Notamacropus eugenii: one gene and its partners. The protein of the gene in region 1 interacts with the protein of each later gene in a pairwise test. Links are inferred from orthologs where the notes say so. Each region holds a gene or a part of one and is shown on either strand. Other genes may lie near its edges.

Region 1 (7,940 bases):
TTTCATAAATATATTCATTTATCTATTAAGAGATGGCTCTTGTTCTCATATGTTATTATCACCTTGTGTGGTTGTGTAGTTTGTCCTTTGTTCTTGAAGAGGACCAGATGATGCCATGACTTAGAGATGAACTGGATTTAAGTGAGGGTGGGCTGTGCAAGGTCACCAGCCCCACTTTCTCCTCCAGAGCTATCTGAGTCCAGTGGTCAGATTAGAACAGGATAATTGGAGATGGCCCAGCTGTTATCACCTCCCTTATTATCAAATTATCTTGGTAATCAGACTTCCATCAGAGATATTTGCTGCAAAGATGTTTTCCCAGTTAATTATTTCTCGTCTGGTTTTTAGCAAAAGGTTTCAATTTTGTGCAATCAAAATTTGACCTCTATTCTCTCAACTCCTAAAAGTAATCATTGACTTTTCCTCTCATTTTTCTTGTACTGCTCATTATCTTTTTCCTGATGCACTGCAAGCAATCTGAGCATTGCACCTAGCATAGTACACACAGTAGGTGCTTAATACATGTTTGCATGTGTTTACCATTTTGTTACCACTTACTGTCATTAAAAATAATAACCAACATTCCTATATAATGATTCATTGTTTACTAGACGCATTCCTCACAGTAACGCTACAATGTTGCTACTATGAGTATTATTATCCCTATTTTATAGATGAGGAAACAGAAGGTTGTCAGAGTTTGGGCTTGAACTCAGCTCTCCTGACTCAAAATCCAGTGGTCTTTAGATTTCATCACACTTAATTAAATGTGGTATTTTCTTCTTCCCATACCTTGTAGAGGAGGCAAGAACTATATATTATGTTTCTAAAATATCCTCCCGGACAGCTCTTAGTGTCTTAGACATAACAGGTAACAATAATAATAGCTACCATATAATAATAATAACAGCTAATATTCATATATGCTTTAAGGTGTTATGAAGAGCTTTACCAGTATTATTTCATTTGATCCTCACAACCACCTTGTGAGGCAGATGCTATTATTATCCCCACTTTACATATAAGGAAACTGAGGCAGACAGAGGTTAAATTCCTTGCTCAGGATCACACAGCTAGTAAAAGTCAGAGACCAGATTTGAACTCAGGTCTTTCTGACTCTATACACCCAACACTCTCAAGTATTTGTTGATTTTAGAAGTCTTTTTCTTTTAACACCCACTCCTTGAGGTCACTCTTTCTTTTCTCCCCAGATCTCAAGAGTTAAAAAGTGTAAAACATCTCCCTGAGACTGTTCACCTTGTTTCCAACTGAGGCTGAGTTTGTGCTAGAGGTCTTTTGGACTGCTAGGTGCTTACACTTTGCCCATAGAAGAGGCAAAGACAAGGACACCTGCATCTCTGAACTGCTGCTGCCCTTGATTCACACCCTTTGACACTAAGATGATCTGCCTCATCCCTACAGCTTGTTCCCCAACCCATAAACTCTAATTTGGGAAACAGAAGTAATAACCCAATGTTTTTATGCACCAGTAACTTATTGTTGCTAAGTGCCTGGAGATCAACAGAGAAAAGGGGGCGGGGGTGGGAGAACAGGTACCAGAAACCTCCAATCCCAGACACAAAAGCAAGATAATGAAGGAAATCTTATAAGAGCCTGTATCTTGGGGCAGAAGAGGGGAACTAAAGCCAGTGACCAGGAGGTAACAAGCAAATCAGAAAAAAAGTCTCAACTAGGAGGCTGACAAAACATTTGACTGTCACAGACTAGCTCAGCTGTCCCCCAATAACCAATGATTTTGGTTATTGCCTTAAAAGGTTATTGCCCCTCATCTCCAAAGCTAAAGCGGAACTACAACTGGGACTGACCCCCTAGGACTTGGTCTTTTACAGGACTTTGGCGGCAAGTACCCTCCAACTGGCTTGTTTGGAAGGTGTGCTTCAGGATGACTAACCTAATTCCCATCCCTCACCTCTACTCACCTGCCCACCCTTGATCAACAGTCCTCTCTCCCTAGGTCCCAAGGTCTCACTCCCCATACACAGTGGAGGTCTACAAGTATCTAGAGATTCTTGGGTAAATGCAAATATATCAGCCCATTTGTGTCTGTCAACAGCAAGCATTTATTAAGTATTGATCTCAGATCTCTTTGTCCAACCCTAACTTCTCTCTCTCTTCACAGCCAAACTTAAATCTGCAACTGCCTATTGGACATCTCAAACTAGATATCTCATAGACATCCAAAAAAAAAATTCAAAACTGAACTCATTATCTTTCCACAAAAAACCTTCCCTCTACCCAACCTCCCTTTTACTATTAATGTTATCACCATCCTCCTAGTCACCAAGATTCACAGCTGAGGGTGTGAGGAGGTCAACTTCTCCAAACCATTGTTAAGTCTTATCATTCTGTCTTCATAATATATCTTGAATACGCCCTCTTCTCTCCTCTGACACTGTCATCATCATCATCTCTATTGTTTCACGCGATTACAACAGTCTTCTGGTTGGTCTCCCTATCTCAATTCTCAATCCAGTCTCTCCTCTTCTCACCTGTCAAAGGGATCTCCTAAAGTGCAGGTCTGATGAATATATTCCTGCCCCTACCTTTCAATTTAAAAAAAAAAAAAAAGAGGCTTCTCATCATTTCCAAGATCAAATATGTGTTAGGACAGGTTCAATTCATACCATCCATGTTGTTCGTGAACTTCAATCTTCACCCTTCAGACACAGCAGGAATGAAAAGCAACTGCCCCAATCTGGTCAGTTCTAAAGATGAAGTGTGTTGCCCTTACATAGCTAATCCAAGGAGGTTACTCCCATCTGCATGGGAGGATGGCAGGGGAGCAGGGTGGCTCTATGTTAGGCAATCTAGTGAGAGAAATAGACATGGATACAGCCTAATTCTGCTTTTCTTAGACCAAACTCTGTAGCTTGACAGTATGCTCCAAAGATCTTTTACATATAAAATCCTATGACTTGTTCAAAGTCTTTCATAATCTAGCCCCTTCCTGCCTTTCCAATCTTCCAATGACAAATCTCCTCATTATTCTACGACTCTTCTTGTTATCTGTCCTTTGTTCTCAAAGAGGTCCAATGACATCATAGGGTGATGTCTTGACATGTGTGAACTGGATTTAAGTAGGCAGAGTTGAGCAAAGTTGTCAGCCTCACTCCATCTTTCAACTCTGGGAATTTTCCCTGGTTATCCCTCATGCCTGGAATGCTCCTGATCCTCAGTTCTCTCTCTTGATTGTCCCTGGCTTCCTTCAAGTCTCACCTAAAGTTTCATATTCTGCTAGAAGCCTTCTTGGTCATTTTTAGTGCCTTCCTTCTGAAGTTACTCACAATTTTATATAGTCAACAACAATAAGCATTTATTAAGTAATTATTGCGAGCTAGGCACCATGCAAAACACTGGGAATACTGGGAATGAGCAGACAGTCCCTGCTCTCAAGTTGCTTATAGTGAAATGGGGGAAAGGCAGCATTTAAAAGACACTGACAAGGGGTCATAGTAGAGAAAGTCAAGGAGAGTTAGGACTATAGCCTAGAGAGGAATAAAGACACCGATGACCTGAGCCTCTTTCTTAAATGGGAAGTTCTAAGAGGGACCCCACCTCTCCCCCAAACAGGTGGACAGACTTGGAATATGAGAAGTCCGGGAGTGAAGTGACTTTCTAGGGTAGAAACCTTTTAGGAGAATTGCAAGAAAGACCAAGTTGAGTCTGGAACCCTAGAAAAAGCAGAGGATGTGAGCCAGCCTGTGGCATGACTTTTTCAGCAAGCATGTGTCTCTAGTTTTTATATGGTTGTTTCCACATTTTCTCCCCCACACCCCACACCCCGTACCCACCTCTACCCCCATTAGCCTGGGAGTTGTTTGACCATACTGGGACTGTTTTCTGCCTTTCTTTGTATCCCCAGGATTTAGCATAGTTCCTGGATCAGGAGGTGCTAAATAAATACTTATTGACTGACTAAGCTCTGGGGATATTTTTTAAAGGCAAAAACAAAGTCCACACCTCCAAGGAGCTCACATTCTAACGGGAGAGACAACAAAAATAACTGTCTGTACAAGACATATTGGTGTAAACAAAACGTTGAGGGGTGGGAGGGATAAAATCAGAGGGAAGCAGAGGGTTAGGGGCATAGGTGGATGCTGAGAAAGATTCCTGCAGAAGACAGGACTTAAGCTCAGTCTGGAAGGAAACCAGAGAAGAGGTAGGTACAAAGTCCCAGCCCAAATCAGCTATGTCAACAAGCATTTTTGAAGCACCTAACACGTGCCAGGGACTGGGCTAACTAAGCCAAGAGGGTACTAGGAGGGACCTCGTAGCCACACACAACTTGCCCTCGATCCCTCCCAGGCCAAGAGCTTTGCATGCAAGTTTCCAAAGCACAAACAGAGCCTGCGCATTAGCTCTGCCCGGGTTGCCTCATTAAGATTGGACTTTCTTCGAAAGCCCCGCCCCCACTCCCCTGTCTCACATGTGCGGCTGGAGGTGGCAGACAAACTGGGAGGGGAATTTTTGTAAACACTGGAGGAGGAAGAGGAAGCCGAATGGAAAGCGTAAGGCCTGGGAGGGGACTGCTCCACTGGGTCAAGGCTATCGCCGCTGCCAGTTTCCTAGTCGGTCAAAAACACGTGGTTCCACTGCCTCTTCCCCCCTCCACCAAGCTTGAGGCCCACAGTCAACCCCACCCCCCCTCAAAAAAAATTGTTGTAAATAGCTCAACCCAATTAGCTTAGGCCGCCTGCGCTCGTGGAATTTTGGGAGTTGTAGTTCTACTGGGGAAGCGTCCTCATTGGCCACTGCAGAAGAATGGACTACAGATCCCAACATGCCTTAGTCATCCCAACACTCCTCTCCACCCTCCGCTTCGCACAGCTTTCTGGGTTTGGTAGTTCTAAGACCAGCAAACTTTGAAGCCTGGAAGCGGAGAAAGAACTACAATCCCCGAAAGGCCCTGCGCCCAACTCTCTCCCCCGCCCCTCTCTCAGGCAGAGTCGTGTTTTTGTTGTTGGTGAAAGGTGAGGGGAACAGCTGATCTCCTGGTGGGGTAAGAGAATTTGGTCCTAATTCTTGTTTTGGGGGAAGGGAATTTTATGGAGTCTCACCCCAACTTTCAATCCTTGAAAAGGAACTCTAGGGAAACAGACTTTTTAAAGGGTTAACCATTTAGTGGAAAGAACCCCCCCAGTTTTCCCTCATTGTTTAGGGGCGCCGGGGTTTTGAGAGGTTCCCTGAAATTGGAGGGAGCTCCCCCTTTGCCTTCTCCCCTCCCCTTGGGTAACTCACCTGGAAGGACTGGGTAGGTTCGGTAGGGAGGAACTGTGGGTGCTGAAATCAGGGCGAACCCCCTTTTTGATCATCGGCTCTCAAAGCAGCCATCTCCCTCAAAATCAATTCCAAGGGTCTTCTCTGCCCTCCATGGGCTGGGCACTAGGAAGTTCTAGGATCATGCGACAAGAGTGAGGATCTATGGACCTTCCCCATATGGATGCCCCTAAATCTGATCACATACACACACACCCCTTTTTTGTGATGATGCAGTGCATGGTTTTCTAATTTTTTCCCAGCCATGGAGGAACAACCCAGATTTGATGTAGTTTTGTTGGGGGTTAGAGAGTTGTCTAGACTTCTCCAATTTAGATCCTTGGGAATTAAACCCCGCTCCCCACACCTTTACCCCAACCCTTTAGGAGTATAGGAAAAAAAATGTCCTGCTTGAAGGTAATGTAGAGAATCAGCAGGACTTTAACTTAACTTAACTTTGAGCCAAAGATAAATTAAAGAGTCAGAAGGGTTATATTGCATTTAATTTTTTGCCTGATTTCCAGAGAAATTTTGAACCCTTTCCCCAGTGCCAGATGTACTCCCAGCTACTTTCTTCCTGGGCTTGTTTGGGGGGGGGATTTTAAATTTATTTTTTCACTTTAAAAGTCTCTGCCCTGTCTTCCCCCTCCTGGCACCAACCAGTATGGGTCTGTGATGTTTTGGGGCCTGCACATGACTAGTGGCGTTTCCTGATTGGACACCCTGTGAGCTGTGTTGCAGACGTAGATGGGAGGGAACAGGCAGAAAAGGGAGGACTCTAAGTTCTGAGTAATAGTTTCTCTTTTCTAGTCTTCACATCCCATCTTCTCTTACCTACCCTTCTACCCCCAGAACACTCCTGCTTTCATACCCTGTTCTGCAGCTATCAGTTTCAGAGGAGTAACTGAAACATTTAGTACTGAAAACAGCAGAAAGTGGAATGGGAAGGGCTTGGTCTATTCTGGAGCTAGATTTGATTTATTCTGTTTGAAGAAATCAGGAGGTCAAGCATCCCAATGGGATGGTAGGTCAGAGGTCCAGGAAGCAGGAGATGTCGGTTTTGTTCCATCTCCTAATGCTGGAAATGAATCTTTACCTTCCCACCACCCCCCCCACAGTCTCATCTGTGCCCAAGGGTGGGGTGTTCCTGGCTTCTGGCCCCTGCATTCCATCTCCCCCATCCCACCACGTTCCTGTCTGATGTTTCACTCCACCCAGAAGCAGCCGCCTCCAGGATTCCTGAACTTCATGGGGTAATATTTAGGGAGTCCCAGCATAGAGTCAATCCTTCTCTACCTTTTCTCTGTCTTATGCCTCAAATAGGAGTCGGGATAGTTGGGTTCCTGAGAATTTATAAGGATTAGACATTCATTAGAGAGGGAAAGAGGGACCCCTGACTCAGGGGCATAAGAATTTCAGTTTGGACACTCCAGGCGGAGTTCTAGTCCTGGACACTCAGCCATTCTTGTCCATTGGTTAATTCTTGTTCAGTTGTCCTTAGAGTATTAGAGCTGCAGCTGTGTCAACAGCCCCAGGAAGTGAGTGAAGGGGTCAGTTTGATTTCCAGGGAGGGGTTAGGAAGGAGAGTACCCCTTTCTGCAATTTAATTCCCTAGTCAAAAGCTTTGGAAATTAAGGCCTTAAAGTAGGGGCAGGGGGAGAAACTGGAGCAATGGAAATGGGCTGTAAATTAAAGAAAGTAAGAGTGAGCAGATAGATGTGAAACCTGGAGCTGAAGGGCAGGGCTGGGTGGAGTTAGGGGCACTGAGCTTCCGTAGGGCAGGGACTTCAATGATGGAAAGTACCTGTGAGCCTCAGACTGAAAGGGGCAGATTGAAAGACTGAATGCCTTGGTTCTAAGAACCAAGAGTGATGATATTTGGGTTCTATGCTCTTAGGACCATGGTAATTGAGATTCCTTGGTCCCTAAGTCTGGCAGTTAGTATAGTTGTGTATGAGGAAACAGATTGGGAAAGATGTTAGCTTTGAAGCATTAAACCCCTCGTTAGCACCTAACTACTGGACATCTCCACCTGATGGCTCATAGGCATCTCAAAGGCAACATGTCCAAGCCAGAATTCATTATCTATCTCTCCTCATCCCAACCCCCCCAAAAAACCATTCATCTTCTTGACTTCTCTGTTTCTGTCACCACTGTCTTTCTTTGTTCTTTTCTCTCTCCCTTATGCCCCCATCCCACTCATTGCCAAATCTTGTCATTTCTACCTCAGCAGTACTTCTTGCATATGTCCCCTAGTATTTACTCAACCACCTACTCCAGGTCCTCATTACCTCTGGCCTGAATTATTGCAGAATCCTCCTAATTGGTCTCTCTGATAACAGTCTCCTTTCAGTCTAGTTCTTTCTCCACACAAACTGCCAAATCAATATTCAGACCTCACTCATCACTCCTCTGCTCAAGATGCTTCAATTGCTCCCCATCACCTGCATCTTAAACTCTTTCCGGTTTGGTTTCAAACTCTCTTTCTAGATCTAACCTATTACTTCTCCCAATGTCCTTCTGACCAAAGTAGTCTTCTCAGCGTTCCCTCGACATGATGTTTGGCCTTTACACAGGAGGTCTGTTCTCTGTACCTGGAATCTTCTTCCTCATCTTGGCATCCCTGGCTTCATTCAAGGCTCAGCTCCAGTACCACTTCCTGC
Region 2 (7,547 bases), on another chromosome or scaffold:
AACTATAAATATTTTTGTACATATGGGTCTTTATCCTTTTTTATCTCTTTGGTATACAAACCCAGTAGTGGTATTGCTTGGTCAAAGGGTATGCGTGATTTTATAGCCCTTTGGGAATAGTTCCAAATTGCTCTCCAGAATGGCTGAATCAATACACAACTCAACAAATAATACATCTAATAGATTATCTTTTGGTAAGTCCACACTGTCAAAATTTTGTACTAGTATCTGTCATTCTTCCACAAACATCTTTCTCCATTGTATAACCAGAATTCAAACAGCCAAAAAAGTCAAAGATGTTTAAATATCAATGTGTAAACTCTTCACTAAAAATAATATAAATCACCAAGATGAACAATAGGCAAGTCAGATTTCTGAACAAAAGGTGTATGTAATATAAAATTTTAACCTAAATAAACTTGTTTATTCTAGAGTTCTTCAATACATACAAAGAGGTGAAAACATGAGAAATTCAAATAGTGTCATGTTATGCCTATTTACAAAGACTTCCAAAGTTTTTAAAGAACAGGAGTCAAACAAATATCAGAGGTTTCTCTGGCTCTATCTTCTGTCAAACTGACTTCATATTTCTTCTCATACACCCAACATTCCAGGCAGATGGGTGTATTTGTTTCCTGTCTGTAACATTACATCTCTCTTTCTTGACACAGGTTATACATTCCTTCTCTGCTCCACCTCATTTTAAGGCTCAAAGCTCCACTTAAGTACTTACTACTTCTAACAAAAAAAACTCTTTCCTATTCCCTCAGTAATTAATGTGTCCTCCTTTCCATTACACTGTATCTGTATCTGTACTTATCTGCTGTCTATTCTTACATGTTGTGTCTCCCCCCCATTCCATCCCCTAATAGATGTGATGATAGGTATGTGCCCTTTTTCGTCTATGTAACTTTTTTTGTTTGTTGTTGTTTTAACCACTGCGTCTAACACAGTGATTTGAACATAAATGCTTACTGAAGTGGATGGAGTTCCTTTAGCATGTAGCAATAAAAGAGGTAAAAGCTATTTCACAATGACATTGAGAAGAAAACTAAGTTAATCAAGCATGATGCTGCTACATAAAAAAATATGAAAGTCAATATAACTGTGCCTACCAAGTAAAACTACTGTTGTAGCAGAAAACAGGAGTCAAAGGATCTGGATTCAAATTCAGTCTCTTCTATTTATCCTCTCTAGGCCTCTTTTTCTTGTCTGTAATATAAGAGTTTTGGGCTGTCTACAAGGTCTCTTCCCTTGCTAAATCCTATGACCTCCTAATTTCTAAGCTCTTTGTAAATCTTAAAATGACACATAAATGCTATTATTATTTTTTATCCTCAAAATCATAACCATAGCAACAATGGCACCATTTCAACAAGTAATCAAGAGAGGCATAGAGGAAAAGAGGGGGGAAAAGACTCAAATCCTCTTCCAGGTTCAATTTTCACAGAGCAAGAAACAGTAATACCTATTTTCTACAAATGTGATTAAGCAAAACCACACTGACTTTTGAAAAAGCTAATCTAGATATCTTTCCTAGTTCAGCCTAGAAATACAAAACTCTCATAATCTTTTGAACCTTCAACTGAGGCACAGCCTCAAGAATTTACCATGTAATAAAATGAAGAATAACTTTTTTTCTTAAAAAATCTATGGAACTGCTCAGAAACGCTCTCTTACTTAACTCCAATTTATATATTCACCCATTTATGACTATCTCAAATGAAAATTTTTTTTGCAAAATACACTTTTATCTGAGGGAAATTTAAACTCAGTAAGGAAAAAAAATATTGGACAAGTAGATTAAAATTCCAAAGGAAAAACTGGCACTTCCAGTTTTCACAAATTCACAAAGACAATCGATGTATTTAGTGCTCAGAATCTTTCTGTCCATCCTCCATTTCAGAAAAATTAAAGAGCTTCACAACGTCTATTCCATCCAACATTTTTTGAAGGTGCAGTTTCTCAATATCTGACAGCTTAAGAAAAACAAAGAAAAAGGTGATCAGGACGCCTACCCCATGGTCCGGGAAATCCTTAACTTTCTAGGGCAGGGAAAATAGTGCAAATGTAGGAGAGGGCTAGGGAGGGAGCCCAGAGAAGTGATGGTCTTAGAATGCAGGGAAAGATCTTTTTTTTTTTTTTTTGATATGACAGTAATGGAGTTTGTTTTGCTTGACTATATATACGCATTACACAAATCGTCTTCTTCTGGAGAGAAGGAAGATAAGGAGAAAACAGTTAAGAGGAGAAAGACAGAAGAAAAGGCCATAAATAGGGAAAGGAAGCTGAAGGGTAGAAGAGAGAAGAGAAACAGGGAAGGGGAGAAGCTGGGGGGAGGCTGGGGAGGCGAGAGGACGCTGAATGGGACTGGATCGCAAAAACTCGCCAGAACGACAGCAAAAGGAGGCGAGGCCTGAACCCCTGGGCAGCCTTCCTCCCCTTTTCTAGGCCTCTTGTCCGTACGCTCCAACACTTGTACTTGTAAGCGGGACTTGAAATCAGGGGTCCCCACAAGCCTTAGTGAGGTCTGAGCTTAAATGGTCTAAAACGGCGAGAACCCCGGGGGTGACCGGGGGCGACCGCGGGCTTTCGGGGTGGGAGCTGACGGACGGGAAGGCCTGAGAGCGGCCCCTAAGAGAGCGTGGGGACAGGGAGGAAGCAGGCGGTGGCCGGAGGGGTGGCTCCCCAGACCCCCAGCGCCCTGGGCACAGGGAACGACGGTACAAGGATGCTCTGAGACGGAGATACCTGTCGCAGGACCTCGGCCCGAGCCTGCCGCTTCTCTTCTTTCCGTTCTTCGATGCTCCTAGCGCTTTCAAACCGACCACCGGAAGCCGCCATCGTTGTTGTTATGGAAAAGTTCCCAAGGCAACCGTCGTAAAAGTCGGCTTACGACAGTCGTAAAAGCGAACCTTCCGGTTCGTCGCTCTCAGGAGTCCCTGGGGGCGGGGCGGGACGGAGAGGGGAGGGGCGGGACGGAGAGGGGCGGGGCGGGACGGAGAGGGGCGGGGCGCCCTATGGGAAGGAGAGTTGGAACTTCAGAGTCCTGGGTATGCGCGCGAGGAATTGTTCTCTCCCTCTCCAAGAGTGGGGTCTTTTCCTCCCTCGAGTCTAGCTAAATCCTGGGAGGAGAAGGCAAATGCAGGTGGAGAAAGGAGTTAGTCAGCTGACCCACCTGCTGTGAGACCTTTGGGACACCGCGTATTCACCTCTGGGCTAGGTTTGCTAGCATTAAAGGGAGGCTGTTACCGGAAGGGATGATGCCACCGGGCACCCGAGAATGTGATTGTCTTGCCATGGACCTCACTGCTCGCTATGGAAAGTCGATGCTCTTTTTCACCTTTCGCAGCCGGGGCACCCCTGTATCAGTAACCGACCCTCCGCAAAACCATGAAGTTTGACTCCGAGCCCTTGCTCACCCCTAACTTCTGAGCCCCGCTTCTGACCTTGGGGATCCCTCCCCCCTTCTGACCTTGGGGATCCCTCCCCCCTTCTAGCCTTGGGGTTCCCTCCCCCCTTCTGACCTTGGGGATCCCTCCCCCCTTCTGACCTAGAGCTTCCCCACGCTGCGCTCTGCTGCCAAAGTTTTAGACATCAACTCCTCTCCACCCACTATCACGCCTCCCTCAAAAAACTCCCATTTTCACCACTAATTATACAGAGAATAATTATATTATTACTAATTACACAGAGGAATTATACAAAGAAAATTAATTCCCACAGTGTTTGTTGTTGTTGTGGAGTACCAATGACATCACTCTGTTGGGCACAGTGATGTACAGCGTGTTGACTGAGGCTGATCAGTCCGATGGGAGCTCACAAGACTCTCTCTACCACAGCTCCAACTACAAATAGGCCATTTGAACATTTGGGATGGCTTTTTCTAGATCTGTACCTCTCATATTTGCTTTGTGTTCCTGTGATTCTGCTTTGTTCTTAGAGCACAGAGCCTTCTTTGATGCAGGTATACCATGCCGGGCAGTCCTGTGCCAGGGTCTCCCATGTTTCACTTGATACTAAAGTTCTTCAGAGAGACCTTGAGAGTGTCCTGGTACCACTTCTTCTGACCCCATGTGAGTGCTTGCCTTAGAAGACTTCTCAGCCAAATAGTCTTTTAGGTAAACATATGTTTGACATTTGGGCTACAGGACCAGCCTATTGGAGTTACACTTTCTGCCATAGAGTTGTAATGCCAATAATTCAGGGACCTGTGTCTGATACCTTATCTTGCCAGGTAATCTTCAGAATCTATCTAAGACAATTCAGATGGAAACAGTTGGCTTTTCTGGCATGGTACTGGTACACAAGGTAGGTTTCATAGTCATATGGTGATGAGGTCAGCACAAAATGGCTCTGTAGACATTCAGTTTGGTATGTAGCCTAATACCTCTTCTCTCTCATACTTTATTTTGGAGCCTCCCAAACACTGGGCTAACTCTGGCAATGTCTGTATGCATCAACCTCATCACCTAACATCCCTGGAAAGTATACTACCAAGGTAAGTGAATTTCCCCACACTATAGAAAATTTCTTGGGAGGGAGGGGGAAAATATCTAAGACTTATGAAAGTGATTATAGAAAACTGAAAATAAATAAATTAATAATTTTTTAAAAATTTCTTCATTCACTGTTAACCAACGGTTTCATGAATGGATGGAAAAATGCTGGCTGGTGGGAGAACCTCTATTTTCTTGGTATTGATTGTCAGGCCAAAATTAGCACAAGCAGCAAATAATCAATCCATACTCTGTTTCATCTCAGCGTCAGAGTCTGCATTGAGTACACAATCATCTGCAAACAAAAAGTTGTGTACCAACTCTCCCTCTACTTTAGTTTTAGCTTGTAGCCTTTTCAAGTTAAAGAATTTGCCATCAGTGCAGTAGCTGACCTTGATGCTGTTTTCTCCCTCATTGAAGGCATCTAACATCATTGCTGAAATGCTAACAATGCTAAGAAAGCATGGGAGCAAGCTCACAACCTGCTTCACTCCACTGATAATTGGGAAAGCATGAGAGTATTGTCCTTTATCAAGAACTTACACAAATATGCTATCATGAAATTGGTGTACAATATTGATGAACTTCTCCAAGCAGCCAAAGTTCAACATAATCTTCCATAAGATCTCATGACTGAGGCCTTGTATCAGGTATCAAAGTTTCAAAGGTCTTGGTCATGTCGACAAACACTGGGTCCAGAAATGTCTTCTGGAGTTGTTGGGCAGCAAACACAATAATGCCGTTTCCTCTGCCCTTTCTGAAGCCTTACTGGCTCTTTGGTAGATGACTATCTTCCACATGAAGGATCAGCCAATTAAGGAGTACTCTGGAAAGAATCTTGCCAGCAATGACTAAGACACACACACGCACACGCGCGCACACACACAGACATGCACACACACATAAACACACACCTATAACTGTCACAGGATAATCTGTTTCCTTTTCCTTCATAGAGATGGACAATGGAAGCATCCTTGATCTCCTGAGGGATAACCTCCTCTTGCCACATAACCTGGAAGACTTCAGTCAGCATCTATATGAACAGTGAACCTGTCCGCCATGTAGATCTCTGCTGGGATGGAATCAGTGCCAAGCACTTTGCCACACAAAAGAAGCCTAATGGCATTCAGTACTCCTTCATTTAGAAGTTCATCTAGAGAGGGATTGACTTCAACCTAAGGTAAACAGCCAATGGCTTCAGCATTGGTTGATGGTGATGTGTTGAGAACACTATAGAAGAATTCAGCCCATCTCTTCAGGATCATATCCTTATCACTAATCAGTGTGACTCCATCAGTGCTGAGTTCTTGAGATGCAGCAGAGGTCTTTGGCTCATAAATAATCTTCAGGGCATCATAGAAGCACTTTGGGATACTTGCTATTGGTGGAAAACTGAATCTCATCTCCCTTTTTACTGAATTCAAAATCCAACATCTCTCTAAGCTTTGATTTCAGTTTACTTTTGATAGAGTTAAATACTGCCTTCTTAGAGACAGATGAACAGTCTTCCTGGCAAACACTGTAGAGTTCTCTTTTTTTGTCTAACAGCTTCTTTAATTTCCCCATCATTTTTGTCAAGCCAGTTCTTATGTTTGCAAATGTTCTGGCCCAGATGAGCAAATACAGTGCCATACACCAAATCTCTGAATGCTACCCACTCCTTTTCTGCTCCATTGTTGCTGTTTGCTGACTCTGCTTTCCCTTCAGGTCAGCAATAAACTTTATGAAAGCAGAAGCACTCTGATCTGTTGAGGTTGAGTCTCCTGACTGTTGTCTTGCCTTGGGGCCACCACTTTTGTTGCATGGGAATTTTAGCTTTAAAAGGATAAGTCTGTGATCAGTCCAGCACTGTGTGCCACACATCACCTTCATCACTCTCACTTCCTGCCTGTCTCTTCCCCTTATAATGATATAGTCAGTGCTTGTTACAAAGGTGCATCCAAAACATTTTGTTGAATGTAGGTAAACAGAAGGCGGTGTTGACGATGAGAAAGCTGTGAAACACTCAAGTCTTCAGTAGTAAATGACCATTGATATTGCTATTTCTGGCTATGTTCCTCTGTATTGATAATTCATTTTTGCTTATTGTTAGTGTAATATTTTGCTTAATTTGAAGATCTTTCCCATCTATTAACAAGTCCATGTGACCTGTTTAAATCACATGGAAGCCTAAGTCACATGTTGTGGGAGGAGCTTGCTGGACGGGTAGAGCAGGAAGGGTGGAACAGGAAGAGGTAGAGCTAGAGCAGAGCTGAGAAAAAGATTGGTCAGAGCAGTCAGAGCTAGGAAGGATCCAAGCAAGCAGGCAGCTGGCTAGTGTGAGTGAAAGAGCCTGTTTGTGATTTTGTTTAAGGGAGTCTACTTGTGATTTGTCTAATGGAGCTGGTTTGTGGGAAGCCTAGAAGAGGGAAGGCTTTAGGGTGGTGCTGCCCTCTGCGTTGTTATTGTGTCTGAGTAAATGTTTTGCTCTGTCTTCCATGTGGAGAGTCTGTGGTATTTCGCAATTCAGAATTGTGCTGGCATATTCATGGCTGCTATAGGCACTGTGAATATCACATTGGTGCTACATCCTCCTGAGGATTCCCTGCCACATCTGATAATCTGTGCCTACTCTGGCATTAAAGTCACCCAGAATTACAAGCTGGCCCTCTTTTTGCACATTGGTTATGAGGGTACCCAGGGTCTTCATAAAATTTTTCTTTGAACTTATCAAGATTAATCTTGGTGAGAGGATATGTTCTGATGATGGTGGCATGGCATTTTCCTGTAACTGGCAGCTGCATTCAATGAGCGTGTTATTCACTACTTTTGGGAGGCATAAAAGCTTGCTGATTAGATCTGATTGCAAAATGTAAGCCAACTTCATGGTGCTCCTCTTCACAGAGGATACTATGTATTCAGCATTTGTAAGCTGGTCCTTCCTGCCCCAGCAAGAAGCATAAGGTTGGGTGAAGCAAACAATTTTTAGGGTACCTTTTCTAGCCCCTTTCTTACACCAGGAGGTAAACATTAGAGTCTTTTTAAAAAGCTGCTCAGAAATCCAGG
Region 3 (7,728 bases), on another chromosome or scaffold:
GAGGCCCTTCGAATCCACAGCAGGCGCTGCAGGTAGGCCAGGGTGGGTGTCTGGTAGGGGACAAGGTTCTGCGTGCTAACTCGGCTTGCCCCATGGATCTTGGGCCTCCGCAGGTCCTGTCTCTGCAGTGAGTCCATCCTGGAAAACAGGGGAGGGCATCCCATTGTTGTCCTTGTGCAGGCCCTGGGGGAGGGAGGAGGGAAGTGGAAGGGAAGGGGGGAGGAGGAATAAGTCCCAGAATCCAGGAAAAGCTGTCTCTCCCATCACCACGAGGAAAGATACCTGGTTTTTTGTTTTGTTTGTGTTTTTATAGAGGGAGTGAGAGACATCTGTCTCTCTTAGCAGTGAAGAGATGAGAGAAGAGAGACTTTTATATAATCAACCATGGAAGGGGAGTTGGGAAATGGCTTTGGGAAAAATGAATGGGTGTTGGGAGTTTAGTTAATTGAATGGGGCTCTGAGTATAAAAGGGGGTTGGACTGGGTGATCTTTAAAATTCTCTCCCATTATGTAATTCCATACCAACTTTCTTTCCTTCACCTCTGCCTTTCCTGGGTGGCAAATAGAGATCATTTTGCTAGGATCAGGAAGACAGAGGCAAGGCTATGGGTCTTGCCCAATGCCTCCCCAGCGTTTTTTGCTTGGGCTTAGCCATGAGACAGAGGAGATAAGGGACCCTTGCAGGGCTTATGTCATCCCTTGCCCCTCAGGGCTCTCAGTTTGTTTCAAGGGAAGCTAGATTTCCATTCTTTCTTCTCATAGACTAGCACCTCCTTGCCCATTAACACCCAGTAGAGGCCACCCAGGATCTCAGTACTGTGGCCCATTGGCTACAGAATTTAGCCACATACTTGTCTGGGGCCTAAACAGGTCAAGCTAACCTTTTCTAGACCTTTTCCAGAGTCCTACTCATGGATAGCAGAGTGCAGTGGTGACAAGGGACAATATCATTCTTGGATTGCCCAGGACTTGGCACATAGTAGGTACTGAATTAAATTGAACAGGTGATTTTTCCCCTAATGTACTCCTCAGCAAAACCCACTTCCCTTTCCTCAGCAAAACAGGACCAGAAATCTGGAAGTAAGGAGGGACCTCAGTCCCTCCCATCCTAATCAACTTCCTTGTCCCAACTCCCTGAGAGTCAGATTGGAATGGACTAGCTTGGAGTTTGAATTGTTTTTCCTTCATTTTAATGGATGGACATGATCTATAAGCATCCTGGGGAAAAGGGTTAAGTATGTGACCCTTCCCTCTTGAAAATTCTGTGATTCTATGACTTTTTTAATTTATTATTGTTATTATTACTACTATGGAATATATACTGTCTTCCATTAACTGAACTTCAAAGTATTGTTTTATTAAAAGAAAAAAGAAAAAAAAAGGTCTACCAGTCAAGGAAAGCTATAAGCTTCCTTTGTAACTTCTATTACACCAGGGTTCTTGTTCTGATTGTTAGGCTGCTCCTGATTTAGGAGATAAAGGGAAATGAGTTCAAGGAACAATTTGGAAATTAAGGGGGTATATAATTTGTTATTTGTAGGAATACGTACTAGTCTTTTCCCAAGTAGCAGCCTTGTCTGCTGCCTTGGAGAGGGGTGATACCTTAAGGCTGTCATTCTAAACCTTTATGACAACTAGCTGATGAGTTGGACAAGACTCAGAGGATAGGATACAAGCTGAGTGAAAGGTGTCTAAAAGAAAATGATGTGACTTCACAATTTTAACAAGAACCAATTTTACCTGGGCCAGGTCCACCACCTCATGTTGGAAATAAGCCAGGCTGGAAGAGTTCAGTAAACATGGAAGGCTTGCTGTCTCCTGGGCTTCTTTTCATAGTACATAGTGGATACAGTACTTGCATGTAAGTCCCTAGACCCAAGGGGCACCTGGCCCTGGGTGTAGGGGGTAGGCAAGGGAATCCAAATCCTTCTCACAATTTTCCCAGGTAAGCTTGGGGACCACACTCACATGAGGCTGAAGCAGCTAGGAACTGAAGTGACTTCTACCTGGAGCAGGGACAGTAATGTCCTATTCTATTCTCTGTCTGCCACCTGGGCCGTACCCAAGAGTGTGGCTGATGTAACCACAGGACTCTACAGGTTCCTCTCCCAGTATCAGGTGTTCTTTGCTGACTCTGCCCCTGGGACTCCTGGTGAAAATAGTCATAAACTTCCCATCCTTCAATTCCCCATTGAGACCCTGACCTCTGATAGCAGTGAACCTTCCCATCTGATAGAGGAAAGGTTAGACATAGCCTTAACTTTCCTTCTCTCCTTCTTTAAATTCCTGAACTGTATCCAGAACCATTATTCTGGGGTGACAGAGTATGTTTCCAGGGCCCTAGTGGGCACAGAAATGGGGACACTGGCTGTATCTTGTCCAGGAAAGTGGGTTATCTGGATAGCTAGCTATACAAAGAAATCCTAAGGAAGTTGGAGCTTATAAAGCTATGGGGTCATATATATCAGGGTCTGGTGTCCCTCTGGCTTTGACCTCCCATCCTGCATACTGTGGCTAGTCCATGTGGGATGGAGGTTGGAGGTGGTGCATTCTTTCTCAGAGCACCCCACCCCCCCCATTCAGGGTAATCACATATGGGACAACATAAGAGGAAATCTTCCACTTGATGGGATAAAGGCCTATAATCTCAGCTTAAAACCTGGCAGCAGGGGTAAAGAGAAACCTATAGAACCTGAATGACCTGTCCAAACTCCTACAGCCAGCTGATGGTAGAAATGGTTGTTGACCCAGAGAGTTGAACTCCCAGGAAACACTGACTGTGGGGTTCTGCAGATTTCACAGGTTAAAATCGGAACTAAGCTCAAGCCCACGGAAGTACTGCCTGACCCTGGAAGAGACCTCCAACCCTTCCCCAATAATGGGCATCTTACCTATATATGACCCCACCTACCTAGAGCATGGTCTAGGGCTTGAGTCTGGAGGCTCTGGGGGCCAGGGCAGTGCTGGACTCAACAGTAGGGATCAGAACAGGGGGTGGAGGTTCCATCTGAGAACACAGATGCTGTGAAGCGTCTAGAATTCCAGCTGGTTGACATGGAAGTTTCTGGGGGGGGAGGGGGGAGCAGGAGGGAGGAGGGAGGCCCTGAGCTATCCCTGCCCAGAAGAGGAGCCCGTCTTGAGCTACAGCTTCATCAAGCTGTCTCAAGGCATCGATGTACTCATCAGCTAGTCCAGGACAGATTGCAGAGTAAGCGGCCTCATATGATGTCATTTAAAGGGGCCCCGGAGAAGGGGTGTTGGCAGGAAAGAAGGGAGGTTACAGTGGGTGCCAATAACAAACCACCAACAACAGGAGGTAACCAGGGACTGGCCCCGCCAATTGGCCAGGCTTGGTCATCCCAGGGCTCTTGCAGCCTTGATTCTGATCAGGTTGAGTCTGGGGGCTGCTTTCAGGAAGCTCTTGCCCCCTGAATCCAGACACTCTGTCTCCCTGCTATAATTCTGATGGAGAGACCTGGTCCCACCCAACTCTCCCTTTGCCAAGCCTTTCTCTGGCCTCCCAGAATCAAACATAGGGTAAGACTACCCTCCCGTGGCCAACCCCATGCTCTGCAGCCCAACTGCATGGAAACCCCAATATCTCAGACCCAAGAAGACCTTTAAACAATACAACAACCCTCCTTCCCCTGGGACACTCACTTCAACCAACAGCTTAGCACCTTTCGCTGCAGAAAGGATTTTTGAGCAGAGAAATCCTGGACAGCTTCAGAGGCCCTCCCCATTTCTCACCAGAGAAATCATTTTAACCTAGCCCAGGGAAACAGAGGATTCAAATTGGTCTCTAATTTTTGTGGCCTGTAAGACCTTGGGCAAGTCACTTTCTCAGTTCAGCATCTGTAAAATGGCTACTGAAGTCCTTTCTTGTTCAAGATCCCTAATTCTGGCCTGTAAGGTTCCTTTTAATTACAAATCAAGGATCCTAGGGATCCTTTCCAGGGACTACCCTGATCAGGGTGAGAAGGGATGAGGATAACAGGGGAATCCTTATTCTTCCAAGGGATATTTCCCCACCCACCCACCCCCTCTACCCTGTTGGCACTGAGGCTCTGGATTTCCAGGGGCAAACAAATACAGAGGCAGATCTCTACACTGGTTGCTGTTTGCCCTGGGCTGCTTTTGGCCTGCTCCTAGCCTCTGCCTTGTCTTAAGACCAGATCCAAGTCATTTCTGTTGGGATTTTTGGTCTGGGGGAGCTGAAGGGTCAGGATTTGTGCTTATAGAAAATAATCCAATCTAGCCTAGGGGAGGATAAAATTGTAAAGAGCTTCAAAAGAGAAAATTTATTCTGAGATTCTTAACCTGAAGTCAGTGATTTTTTTTTAATAGTTTGATAAGTATTGAATCTTATATATTTTAATCCTATGCATAAGTATTATAATCCTATGTATTTTATTTTCTGCATTTAAAAACATTCTGAGGAGTTTACAGGCTTCATTAGATCCTTCCAAAGCAGTCCAGGAAACACGCACATACAAAGGGTTAAGAACCCCTGATATAAAAAAGTGAAATCATGAGGGCTCTTACAACCTTCTCTCTCACAGGTAGAAAGAAATGCTGCCTTCCATCCAGGGTCAGCCACTCCTGGGCAGCTCCCTTTCTCTTACCCTCAATCCCATCCCTTGTCTCCATCTTTCATCTGAGAAGCTCCCTCCCTTCCCCCACGGATCCCTAAAAATCTGAGAACAGAGGAACCCATGGGTCATCCATTATTAACTTAAGACATTGAGACTCAAGGGAGGTAATTGACTGGCCCAGGATCACTCGCTTAAGAAGAAACAATTCCACTCCAGATCTTTCCTATCTCAAGTCCCACACTTAGAAGACTATAGATTCAGAGGTGGAAGGGACCTTAGTGGTCTAGTCTTCTCTCTTGATTTTGGGTGAGGGAGGAGGATGAGGACTGAGCTGGTGATTTCTTTGGTAAAGGTTTTTCTCAGGTGAGAAAACTCAATAAGTCAGTCTCAGGGAGTCACCTGGTGCAGGAAGAGTTTAAGTGACTTATCCGGGGTCACGTGGCCAAGGACTTAAACCCAAGTTGTCCTGACTTCAAGATCAGTTCTCTAGCTGATATGCTATGAATGCCTCTCCCTATTTTACAGATGAAGAAACTGAGGCCTAGAAGAATTTAAATAATTTAAAGATAGTGACAGACTTAGGATTTGAACCCACTACTTCAAACTACAGACATAGTGTGCTTTCCCTTATACCATACTGGCTCCCTAATCACTATACCACACTATCAGGTTACCTCTCAGGTGTAATTAATTGTTCCTTTGCCATCCTCATATAATTACACAGCTCAGGATTGTCTTGTCTGTGCTGAGAAGAGAAGGGTGATGGGTCACACTGTTAACTATCAGTTTTCCTCTGTCTCTGACTCCTATCTATTTGTCTGTGTGGGTCAGGTGGCTCTAACTCTCCCCACACAGCCAGCTACCACAACCCACGTGTGTCCCTGCCACCCCCAAGCACATGCTACCAAGGGGCTGTGCCCTTCGAGGCATGCCTAGAATGGGGTGAGGAGGGGGAGGCACTCACCTGTGGAGGGGGCCTAGCCTGGTTCCAGCCGATGGCTATAGTCTCCCAATAGGCAGGTTCCCAGCTGCCTGTCTCTGCTCTGTTGAGGCTGCTTCTATTTTGGATTTGTGTTTAATTATAAACCATGATCTGCTTCCCCCCCTTCCGCCCTCCTCTTCTTACTACCCACCCTACCCGGGGCAATCAGTCCCGTTCATTCCCAGGAGGGGAAGTTGCAGAGATGATGGCATGGCAAGGGTGTGAGACTGAGCCCTGTCTGGCAGTCCTGGCACCTGCCACCTGCCACCACCCCCTCTGACCCATAATCAGAACTCTGCACACTGAGGATACGGCAAGTCTAGCCACAGCCTCAGCTATATATATGGTATGTGTCAATGATTGTTGGGAGCTGGGGGTGGGAGGAATGCAGGAGAAGGCTGTAAGCAGCTAATCTCTGGCCAAGGGGATTTAAAAATGTGTGGGTATTCTTTTCAAGTCTTTATTAGTATGTAGAAATAGAGGGTAGAAAACAAAATGGAACAAGGCTCATGATTATGGTCTTGTACCACTTAGGACTGGAGGTGTGATGGAGAAAGGAAACTGGGCTCACCAACAGACCACCTGTTCTTGGCCACCTGGATGTCCAGTCCCTTCCTGGTCTGTTACACCTTCTCTCCTTTCCCCTGCCCCCTCTACCCTTGGTTGTACCACAAAGAAAGATGAGCAGAGAGCAAAGCTAAGAAAAGTGTGGAAAGAGAGAAGCTTGAATGCTATTCAAATGAGATAATATTTGTAAAGCATGGTGCCTAGCACATAGTAGGTGCTATGTCAATGCTTATTATGCCCTCTATCTTCACTGAGTTGACTGTGTTCACCCTCAGGATGCCACATCACAGGTGAAAATAGCAAGGAGCCTGGGAGGATTTTGCCAGGAAATGAAGTCCAGTTCCTTGGCCTATGCTTTGCAAAAGCTAGATGTCCTTTCTGTAAGAATCTGACCCATAATTCTGTCCAGGTGAAGGATGGGCCACTGTTTGCAGCCTAGAGTTCAGAGAAGTGGCTTTTGGGAAAGGTTATACAGAGGAATGACTATCGTATATTTCCTGGACCCTGAACAGAAATTCAGTTTGTGACCAGAACCTGCTCAGAGGTCTTCACATCTCCAACCCATTAGAACCTTTGAAAAATCTCTCAAAATATCTCAAAGGGAACCTTGGCAAAGTTCTCCTATCTCACCTCACAGTGTCTCTCCACCATTTTGATCCCTGCCAACTTCAGTCTTCACAGGTACACATGTGCACAGTTCTAAATGAAAAAAAGTCCTAGCTCTCAGATCTGCACCCTTCCAATACATTCTTAAGGGAAGATAACCCCATTGGTAGACCCTTTGAACCTAGTGAAATGTCAGTAAACCTTTGATATTTTTTAAAAACAGTCATTTTATTTTCAGGGCAGAGGGGTGGGTGGCATCAGTTTCTCTCTGCTCCCTTTTTGCTGTTCCTGGCTAAGTTGGAGGTCCAGGTCACGCAGCTGGGAAAGAAACCCCCGATTGGGGCAGATGTTTCGATGGACACTTACTGTCCTCAGGGCTTCTACCAGGGTCAGCTGTTTCCTGAGCATCAGGAAGGCAAGGACCAGAGTAGCAGAGCGGCTGAGCCCCATGGCACAGTGAACAAGCACCTTCCCTGGAAAGAATCAGAGCATCAGAGATTTAGAAATGGAGATTTAGAAATTAGAGGCCATCAAGTACAATTCTCTTCTTTTACAAATGAGGAACTGAGGCCAACAGATATTAAGTGACTTGCCCAGGGTCACACAACTAGTAGGTATCTAAAGCTGGATTTGAACTCAGGTTTTCTTGATACCAAATTCAATAAACCAAGCCATGAAGATGGGGAATTGAGAACAGCCTCAAGTGGGTATAAAGGGAAGGACAAGAAAGAAGAGTCCTTGATCCATTTTACAGACTGGGAACCTACAGCCCAATGTAACAGAAAAGCTGGGGCAGCTATAGGTCTTAAATCCCACCAAACCCCAGGCCCTAGGGTCCTTGAAGTCTAGCCTGACTCCTGTTCTTGATCATCTTTGCATGATCCTGAGAAATGGAGTGGAGGGAAGTGCTTATATGATCTGGGCTTCCCACTAGCCTGCCCTCTTACCTTCTGAGGTCTCCAGTGCTCCCTGGATGAA

What was found. The genes of interacting proteins can lie anywhere in the genome.
Region 2: the proteins of CALCOCO1 (region 1) and CWF19L2 interact in binary tests that used the Homo sapiens proteins (3 or more experiments, as listed by UniProt). The two-hybrid records come from large-scale screens. The link is inferred for Notamacropus eugenii from reciprocal best matches to the Homo sapiens genes CALCOCO1 and CWF19L2.
Region 3: the proteins of CALCOCO1 (region 1) and dual specificity protein phosphatase 13B-like interact in binary tests that used the Homo sapiens proteins (3 or more experiments, as listed by UniProt). The two-hybrid records come from large-scale screens. The link is inferred for Notamacropus eugenii from reciprocal best matches to the Homo sapiens genes CALCOCO1 and DUSP13B.

The regions. Positions count from the first base shown.
Region 1 is NC_092874.1:226,679,232-226,687,171, reverse strand, and holds the start of CALCOCO1 (calcium-binding and coiled-coil domain-containing protein 1), read left to right. Parts: upstream 1-4,935; 5' UTR 4,936-5,020; intron 5,021-7,940. UniProt on the Homo sapiens protein: Functions as a coactivator for aryl hydrocarbon and nuclear receptors (NR). Recruited to promoters through its contact with the N-terminal basic helix-loop-helix-Per-Arnt-Sim (PAS) domain of transcription factors or coactivators, such as NCOA2.
Region 2 is NC_092876.1:147,499,831-147,507,377, reverse strand, and holds the start of CWF19L2 (CWF19-like protein 2), read right to left. Parts: upstream 3,001-7,547; 5' UTR 2,845-3,000; coding exon 2,752-2,844; intron 1-2,751.
Region 3 is NC_092872.1:235,270,745-235,278,472, reverse strand, and holds the start of dual specificity protein phosphatase 13B-like, read right to left. Parts: upstream 3,001-7,728; 5' UTR 2,912-3,000; exon of another isoform or gene 2,892-2,911; intron 1,827-2,891; exon of another isoform or gene 1,764-1,826; coding exon of another isoform or gene 1,741-1,763; intron 184-1,740; 5' UTR 165-183; coding exon 1-164. Other genes in the region: dual specificity protein phosphatase 13B-like, read right to left, coding at 6,985-7,223, 7,698-7,728. UniProt on the Homo sapiens protein: Dual specificity phosphatase that dephosphorylates MAPK8/JNK and MAPK14/p38, but not MAPK1/ERK2, in vitro. Exhibits intrinsic phosphatase activity towards both phospho-seryl/threonyl and -tyrosyl residues, with similar specific activities in vitro.